Linked DNA regions of Rattus norvegicus. The protein of the gene in region 2 purifies or fractionates together with the protein of the main gene of each other region. This does not show direct contact. Links are inferred from orthologs where the notes say so. Each region holds a gene or a part of one and is shown on either strand. Other genes may lie near its edges. The genes, in order: Grb2 and Erbb3.

Evidence for each region.
Region 1: the proteins of Erbb3 (region 2) and Grb2 purify together in Homo sapiens (affinity purification with mass spectrometry; 3 studies listed by BioGRID and IntAct, with this or other methods). This does not show direct contact. The link is inferred for Rattus norvegicus from reciprocal best matches to the Homo sapiens genes ERBB3 and GRB2.

The regions. Positions count from the first base shown.
Region 1 is NC_086028.1:101,385,541-101,389,347, forward strand, and holds part of Grb2 (growth factor receptor-bound protein 2), read right to left. Parts: intron 2,545-3,807; coding exon 2,422-2,544; intron 1-2,421. UniProt on the Homo sapiens protein: Non-enzymatic adapter protein that plays a pivotal role in precisely regulated signaling cascades from cell surface receptors to cellular responses, including signaling transduction and gene expression.
Region 2 is NC_086025.1:1,597,571-1,601,933, forward strand, and holds the start of Erbb3 (receptor tyrosine-protein kinase erbB-3), read right to left. Parts: upstream 2,810-4,363; 5' UTR 2,688-2,809; intron 2,530-2,687; 5' UTR 2,344-2,529; coding exon 2,262-2,343; intron 103-2,261; exon of another isoform or gene 1-102. UniProt on the Homo sapiens protein: Tyrosine-protein kinase that plays an essential role as cell surface receptor for neuregulins.

The DNA.
Region 1 (3,807 bases), on a different chromosome or scaffold from region 2:
ACAGTCCAGGAGTTATTGCTGGAATTTCCAGCTGGCCTGTGGTAACTGATGGAGGAAAGCAAGCCTGAAGTGGCTGTCCACTTCCTCATGTCTCCACTGAGAAGCAATGGAGGTGGTTTCAAAAGGACTGTGGCTCAGAATCCAAAGGTCCTTCCTGTCTGGCTCCAAAGGCCCAAGGGCCTTTTGTGATGCACCTGCTTCCGGAGTGCAGGGTCACTCCTACCACGACCTTCCCGCCAGGCTCTGCAGACCTGGAAACCAGTGTACTAGCTTAGTTAAGTCTGGTGCTGATCGAAGGACCTGTGTAGGTGCTTCACTAAAGGCAGTAGGTAGTTCATGCTATCCTTGTGTGCGTGTGTGGGTATGGGTATGAATGCATGTGCATGTATGTGGAAACCTAACGTCAATGCTGGATGTCTGCAGTATGTCTCTCACTGGACCTGGAGCTCACTGATTACACTAGGCTGGCCGGCCGCAGCTCCAGGGATCTCCTCTCTCTATAACTTCTGCACTGTGGATCCTCACTCAGGTCCTCTTGTCTGCGTGGTAGTTACCAACTGAGTCATCCACCCCGGACATTTTATTCCTAAAGTGATGGCTTACTAACATCTTTAAATGTTTTCTGTTTAACTTTAAAAACCACATTTTCTAGATATGCATGTGTGGTAGGCACAGGCACGGTCAGAGGGACTCCTGAGACTCAAAACACAGGTCACCTGGCTAGATAACAAGTGCCTTTACCCACTGAGCCATGTCATCAGCCAGGGTCTCAGTTAGCTCAGGCTGATTTTGAGCTCACTATGTAGCCAAGGATGACCCAGAATGTATAATCCTCCTGCTTCAAGCTCCTAAGTGCTGAGACTACACTCAGTTGTTGGCAGTGCTTGTGCTAGAGATGGAACCTAGGACTCACTGTGCTAATCAGGCATTTCTATCTCTGCCCTGGGTCTCCATCCCTGCAAGGCTGTCTTTCATGGACGGCATAGCTGGCCTTCCTGCAGGTGCTCGGGTAGAGGTGGTGGTGCTGAACACAGGCCGGTCTCCAGCCCAGCACTGCCCAGGGGCCTGGCCACTCCCGACTGTCTAATCATTGTCTCCCCTTCCTGAGCTGTTTTACTGCTACTTGGAGCAGTTCAGGCAAAGGAAAGACATACAAGCTACTGAGAAGTCTAAAAATGCTAATTCTACAAACCAAGACTCTGTATGACCCTTACTTACATGTGTTTAATCAAAAATGTAAAAAAAAAAAAACCCCAAACCTAGTTATAAGAAGAAACTGTTATCATACTCAGTTGAAAAAAAAAAGTTTGAGGCAAGCCTGGTCTATAGATAAAAGTTCCAGGACAGCCAGGACTACACAGAGAAAAATCCTGTCTTACAAAGCAAAACAGAAAAGTATGCAAACCTTCTGAGGTATCAAAGCTCACCCAAAGCTCTCACCTCTGCATTCAGACACAGAACACAGCTTGGTTCTGGTGCCCAGAGCTTAAGGCCTGTCATTCCTTTCCATGACAGGGAAGTGAAGGCACAGGACTCGGAGTTCAAGGCTGGTCTGAAGGAGTGCACTCCTTCACTCATTAATCGTGGTGCTAGTGATAGAAGCCAGGGCCTTCAATGTACTACAGTGAGCTCTACATTGAGACCCTGGTTGGTGTATTTAAAAGACAAAAAAAGCCAGGACTAGTGGGGTGACTCAGTGAGGCCTTCTGCTCAGACCCGACAAGGTGGGGTTTAAACCTCAGACCCCACAAGACAGCAGAGAAAGCAAGCAGACTCCTGACAGTCTGTCCTCCTCTTCCCTGGCTCGGAGTCAAAGACACTGGGCTCCCTCACCTCGTTACAGATTAATAATGAGGAGGAGGGAACAGCTGGCCATGCCTGTAAGCCCAGTACTCAGGAGACTGAGACAGGCGAACTGCCATCCATTTGACGAGTTTCTGCTACCCAGCAAGTTCCTGGACAGCCTGGGGTGCAGAGAAGAGTCTGTGACTGAAGAGTTTTGGGGTAGGCTTCTGCAGTGACACAGTAACTAGAAGGGGAGGATCGGTCAGATGTCTAACTCTGGCTGGCTTGGAAGTCACAGAGATCCAGCTGTCTTTGCTTCTCACGTGCTAGCTTAGAGGCCAACTCCTGTTTGGATTTTTGAGAGGACACCCACTAGGCTCATGGAAACCAAGTGTCGGGTCCAGGTGAGCAGTGAAGGCAGGCGGGATGAGAAGTGGTGCAGATTAAACTGGCCCTGGGTGCTGTCAGTTCCCATAGGTTCATGACACTGCAAACCTAAAGCTCGGATCTGCTACAACTAGGTTAGAGCAAACACTAGGATGTCCACAGGAAAAGACAGGTTAACATCTTCCCAGCAGCCTTACAATCCAGTCAATGGCTGCAGCTTCTCTGGCAGCTCCAGCAGGAAATACTTACTTGACTGACAGGGAGAAATCCCCAGGAGCGCTCTCGCTCTCTCGGATCAGGAAGGCCCCGTCATGCCGCTGTTTGCTAAGCATTTCTTCTGCCTTTGCTCTGGGGATTTTGCCAAAAAACCACCTAAGGAAGGAAGGCAAGCCAGTCAACATCTGCCTCCCCACAGAGAACTGGGTGGGATGCACAACCTGGCATGTACATGGGGACACTTCTGTCGGAGAGAAGGAGGGAGGGCAGAGCAGGGCAGAGCATTACCTGCTGGCCTCTTGCCTAAGGCTCTGGGGCTACTGTTTGGCTCAGGGCCTTCCTGAGTGACAGAGCTTTCAAACAGCTTCACCCACTCCACTCTACAGATCATGATTCAAGGCAGCAACAAGGGCCACTCTTCAGGCTACAAGGAGACCACTCCTAACATGCAGTCTGAAAGCCAGTGCCCAAGGCCAAAGCTGCCCTGCCTCTCCCTCACTCATCAGGTGGTACCTAGGGAAGCCCAGATACCCAGGATAAGGGCAGAGGGGAAGACAGGCCCTTGGAAGCCATTTCATCATAACAGGAGTGCAGGGCTGGCTGGCTGACATCTGACTTGGAGGTGTGGAGTCTGCGACAGCACAGAGGGAAGCTGGACTGTGAGGAAGTAGACTCTAGGTTGTGGTTGTGGTGTCCCTTTATTCCCAGCACCCAGGAGGCAGACAAAGGCTCTGTGGTTCGAAGTCAGCCTCGTCTACATAGTTTCAGGACAGCCAGAGCTACACAGTGAGACTGTCCTACCTTACCTCATGGATCTGAAATCCTTTCATATGCACATGATAACCCCAACAGTACCAGACCGTCTGCCTATCAGTGACAAATCATTATTTCATTATGGCTATCATGCACAGCTGTGTCCCACCATGCCTGGTTTTATGTGGTGCTGGGTGCTAAACTGCAGGTCACTTACTATGAAACCTGTGTGTCATCTGCCGGGCACGCACGACGCGCACTACAGCACAGCCACTGTGGCTGGTTTCATTGGACCCAAGTGCATCGCTAGGTGGCTGACGGTCAGTGTATAACTGTCCTCTTCCTCTCCAAACAAAGGAGGTGGGGGAGGGCTGGCCTCGTTGCCTGGAGGCACCACACTAAGCACCGTGTGCATTATTAGACCGTGTGGCAGATCCAGAGTGGGAAGTGCAGAAACAATCAGAAGAGGTGGCCTTCACAGCAGTGTGACCTGGAGAAAGGCTCCTGAGTGTTCAACTTCCTTCTGTAGAGCTCAAAGTGGGAATGGAGCCCACCGACTGCCCTTCAGCCAGCCTCAAATAACCCAGCTGACCATGCCGAGCTTCCTGCCTGCTTACTTGCTGAGAGCCAGGAAGGGTCCGACCCTGGGGCCTCACTCAAGCTGCT
Region 2 (4,363 bases):
GGAGCTCTTTCCTGTGGTGCAGTAAAAGCACATGGAGAGGAGGGTGGGGGTAAGGGGTACACCACCTGTTCTAACCACCCTTCCCTGAGGCGGGGCAGGGAGAGAGAGAGAGAGAGAGAGAGAGAGAGAGAGAGAGAGAGAGAGAGAGAGAGAGAGTCAGAAAGCCCAGTTTCTCTTGTTAGGTACATGTCTAGTTTGACCCCTTCTAGATCATCTTCCCTATCCTCTCTCCATGATGGAAAGAGTGGGCCAGTTCCAGCAAGAAGCTAGAAGCTCCCAGAGGAACCTGGGAACTCCAGGGTCCTTGGGCTGAAATAAAAGACTAGGAAGGTTAGTCATTTCTGGAACAGCCCCACCCCTGTCCCCTTCCTGGCAGGACACCCCTCTTCCAAGTTAAGGTGCCAACCCTTCTCAGATAGGGGAGGAGCTAGGATATCTGCACAGGGAAGTGATGTGTACCTGTGCGTGCGTGCGTAGTGTCACACATGTACGACTGACACACAAACATGTACACAGTTACCCTGGCACAGAAATAGATAGTGTTTGCCCTGGAACCCATACTCAGAAGCATTACAAGGGGCCAGTCCATCCTGCCTGCCCACAATGCCTTGCACACTTTGTGTCTTGTGCTTTGCAAAGCCCTACAGGGCTCAGTTACCTGCCACCCTGAGGGTAAAGTCCAGATCCCACAAACAGGGGCAAAGGGCGCAGGCGGACAGGACGGGAGCATAAACAACCACCCAGGAGGGACCAAGCAACCTGGGGATCACGGCAAGGAAGCAGTGAAAAATACCGGGTGGGGGTAGGGTGGACAACGCTCACAGAGGAGCAAAGGATCAAAGTCGGAGCCTTTCTCTGTAGAGAGTATTGACTGCACAGACCAAGAGCCTCCAGCCCCTCAGATGCCTCCCCTCTATTGCCACATACACAAGGGGACAAAGGGGCTATACAAGGCTTGAGACAGGGCCGGATGCCCAGAGGCTCAGGAGGAAGATAAAGGGTAGACAAGCAAGCATGCCTGCTCCCTGCCTCTTGAGGAGGGTGGTGGGAGTCCCGGACTCTTGGGTTCTGGTTGGTGGGGGCAGTCAGATGGAACTGTGTTCCAGTCACTCCCCTGGCCCTCCCCCCAGTCCCAGACCACCCCCTCCACCAGCTGGGAGTGTTCACATCTCAAGATCCCAGGGGCTAAATTTAGGCCCAGCAACTGTGGGGGAAGCACAGGTGGTTTCTCCCACTCCCACTCTGCGGAAGGGGCACTGACTGTGCCAACCCCCAAGCAGAGATCTTGGGGTGGGGTGGGGGGAGCAAGATCAACAGGACTCTAATTATACCAACTCCGGTGTTCTTCAGGTGTCTGTAGTCCCAGAGACACCCGTAGGAAAGGGCTCATATGGCACCGAATGGGGGGAGGGCACAAGTTGGGTCTGGGAGCCAGTTCACAGAATAGAATGTTCAGAAGGTGGGAGAAGTGACCTCAGATTGGAGAGAGAAATAGGTCTGATTGTCTTTTTCCCCACAGCCCCAGAATAGGGTATAATACCCTGGAAATAGTGTAGTGTGTAATAGATGCCCAACATGTTAACTGAATTGACCTGGGTCTTGATAAAGAGACGTTGGTTAAGTTGGGGGACCGGCTTATCTTATGGGAAAGCAGGCAGCCAGCTCTGTGAGACCTCTCACTGATGTCACCTGGACTTGGCCCTCAGGTTAATCTCAGCCTTCTCAGGACAGCCCCACTCACGGAAGAGGAGGTGCCACTCTTGTTTTTCCAACATTAGAAAACAACAACTTCCAACCCTTGCATAGCCCCGCCCTGTCAGCAAAACAACGAAACTGGGGGGTTGTTGAAACCTGGGATGGGGTGGGGGCCAGGGAACCTGAGAACAAACTGAGACCCTTCAAGTCAAGGCTCCTTACGTTTACAGAAGGGTCCCTGCCCGCCCTCCTCCCAAGGCTCTCAAGTGTGAATCTACTGTTCTTCATTAACCAAATCAGAATAAGACCAATTAGAGGGTCAGCGACGCCCTGGGAAGAAGGGTAGGCATCCAGGAATGCAGTCCCAGCCCCCAGAAAGCTCCACTCCAAGAACCGAGGCACACGGCCCCCTCCTTGGTGGTGCGAGCAGACCCGGTGTCGCACCCCCCCCCCACACACACTCCCCAGTTCAAAGAGTCAGTGCCCGAACTCCTTGCCCAGGGTCTGCGAGCGTTCAGGTCACACGCTCCCAGCTTCCAGACTTCTGGGGCTCCCGCGCGGCTTACCTGCCTGAGAGTTGCCCATCTCGGAACCCCGGGCCAGGCTGAGAAGGAAGCACAGCACCTGCAGAGTCCCAGTCGCCCTCATGATTCCAGCGGATGGTGAAGGGAGCCCTGCCGAGTCTGGCCCGGGGGCCCCAAGATTAGGAGGACATCGAAGCGAAAGCCACCTGAACAGCCAGCGAATAGGTAGCTGCGGCCGCAGCGGAGGTTGCAAACTGCAACTGGAGCCGGAGTCAGAGTCCGGAGCGGGGCGGCAGGGGAGGGTGTCTGTCTGGGAGGGAGGGACGGAGCGAAGGGGGAAGGGGGTGAGTCACGGCCGCGCCCCCTCCCGTGCGAGGCTGAAGTCCTGATGGTTGTAGCCCGGGACACCCGCCCAAAGGTGCTCCGCCAGCCCGCAGCCTGGCCAAGAGGGTCAAGGAGGGGTCTTACTCCAGCAATTCCCTCCGGAGATGGTTCAGAGGAGATCAAGATTCCAAACGACCCCAGGCCGGGGAAAGGTAGTGACTGCGGGTAAGGAGAGCGCTCCGAAGCCCAGCCCCCAGAAAGCTGGCCTCGCCCATTAACCAAATCACTCAACTCCCCTAGCCGGTTGGATCACTTGAGGGATTTTTTTTTTCCTTCTTTCGTAGTGTGAGTATTTCAGTTTTTTCGAGTGGGAGGTTGTTTTTTAGCCTAGCGTTCATGCCACCTCAGTTTCCCCGGGACGCAAAGCCCCGTAACTCATGTACCCAGCTCGGGAACCCGAGCCCCGGAGACCGCGTGAAATTGCACTGTCTCCGGCCGCTTCCTCCGGCAGACCCGGCGCCGGCTCGGCCTCTGGGGGGATTTGCCTGGGGGGCGGGGGCGGTTTCCAGCCTGGGAACAGACCGGGGAGTCCGCCTTCCCACTTCAGCCCGGGGAGGGGCTCCCGCACCTGTCGCCGTCCCCTCTGCTGCCCCCCACGGCCGCCCGAGAGAACAGCTGTCTCCGAGGGACCGACCGCGCCGTCCGGGCGGCCGCGGTTCCCGCCTCTCCTCCGCGGACCCAAAAGGGCACAGCAACGCTCACACTGGGAGACGACAGTGAGGAGGGGAGCGGAGAAGTCACCGCACATGGCCCACGGGACCCAGGGTTGCTGGGTCCCGGACGGGTCCGACTGGCGCCCCCTGGTGCCCAACCCCTTGCATTTCGCAACCCTTACATTGGCATTCCAAGATTTTGAGAATTTATTGTCCCCTCCCCCTGGGCGAAGACTATGGACTACAATCTTTTCTTTTCTTTTGTTTATTTTTTTTTTTTGGTTTTGAAACAAGGTCTCATATAGCTCATAGAGCTCAGGCTGGCCTCGAGTATATTATGTGACTGACACTGGTGTTGAACTCTGAATGGTCGATCTTTCTGCTTCCACCTCCCAAGTGCGCCATGTCCCCACTCTCCTGCTACAATTTTTTTTAATTTGTTATTATTCCTGTATGCATGATCGTTCGTACTTGTTTCTGCTACGATATGTGTACGGAAGCCGGAAGACGACTTTAGGGGCACTTGATTATCTCTTTCCATTTTTACACGGGTTGGGAGATGGAATTCAAGTTACCAGACTTTCTCTGCAAACACATTTAGGTATCTGTGGTGGCCAGAAGTTGTTGGTTGAATCCCTGGTAACTGGAGTTACAAATTGTTGTGAGCTGTCATGTGGGTCTGGGTAAGAAACCCTAGTTCTTTGGAAGAACAAGTGCTCCCAAACACTGAACCATCTCTCCACGTGCCCCATCCCTTGCCCTCTTGCAACGATTCTTTAAACTTGCTATTGCGTGGGTGTGCCTATCCACCCTTGGCCTTTCCTGGACCTGCTATGTAACAGTTACACTATTAAAAGCAAGAGCACTGACTGCTTTTCCAGAGGTCCTGAGTTCAATCCCCAGCAACCACAGGCTGGCTCACAACCATCTGTAATGGGATCTGATGCCCTCTTCTGCTATGCCTGAAGACAGTTGACACTGTACTCATATATAATAAATAAATAAATCTTAAAAAAAAAGATTCTGGCTTTCCGGTCCGACATCGTGGGTGAAGCCGCTGCAACGGTGCAGATTTTTTGTGAAGACCCTTACAGGGGAGACCAATCA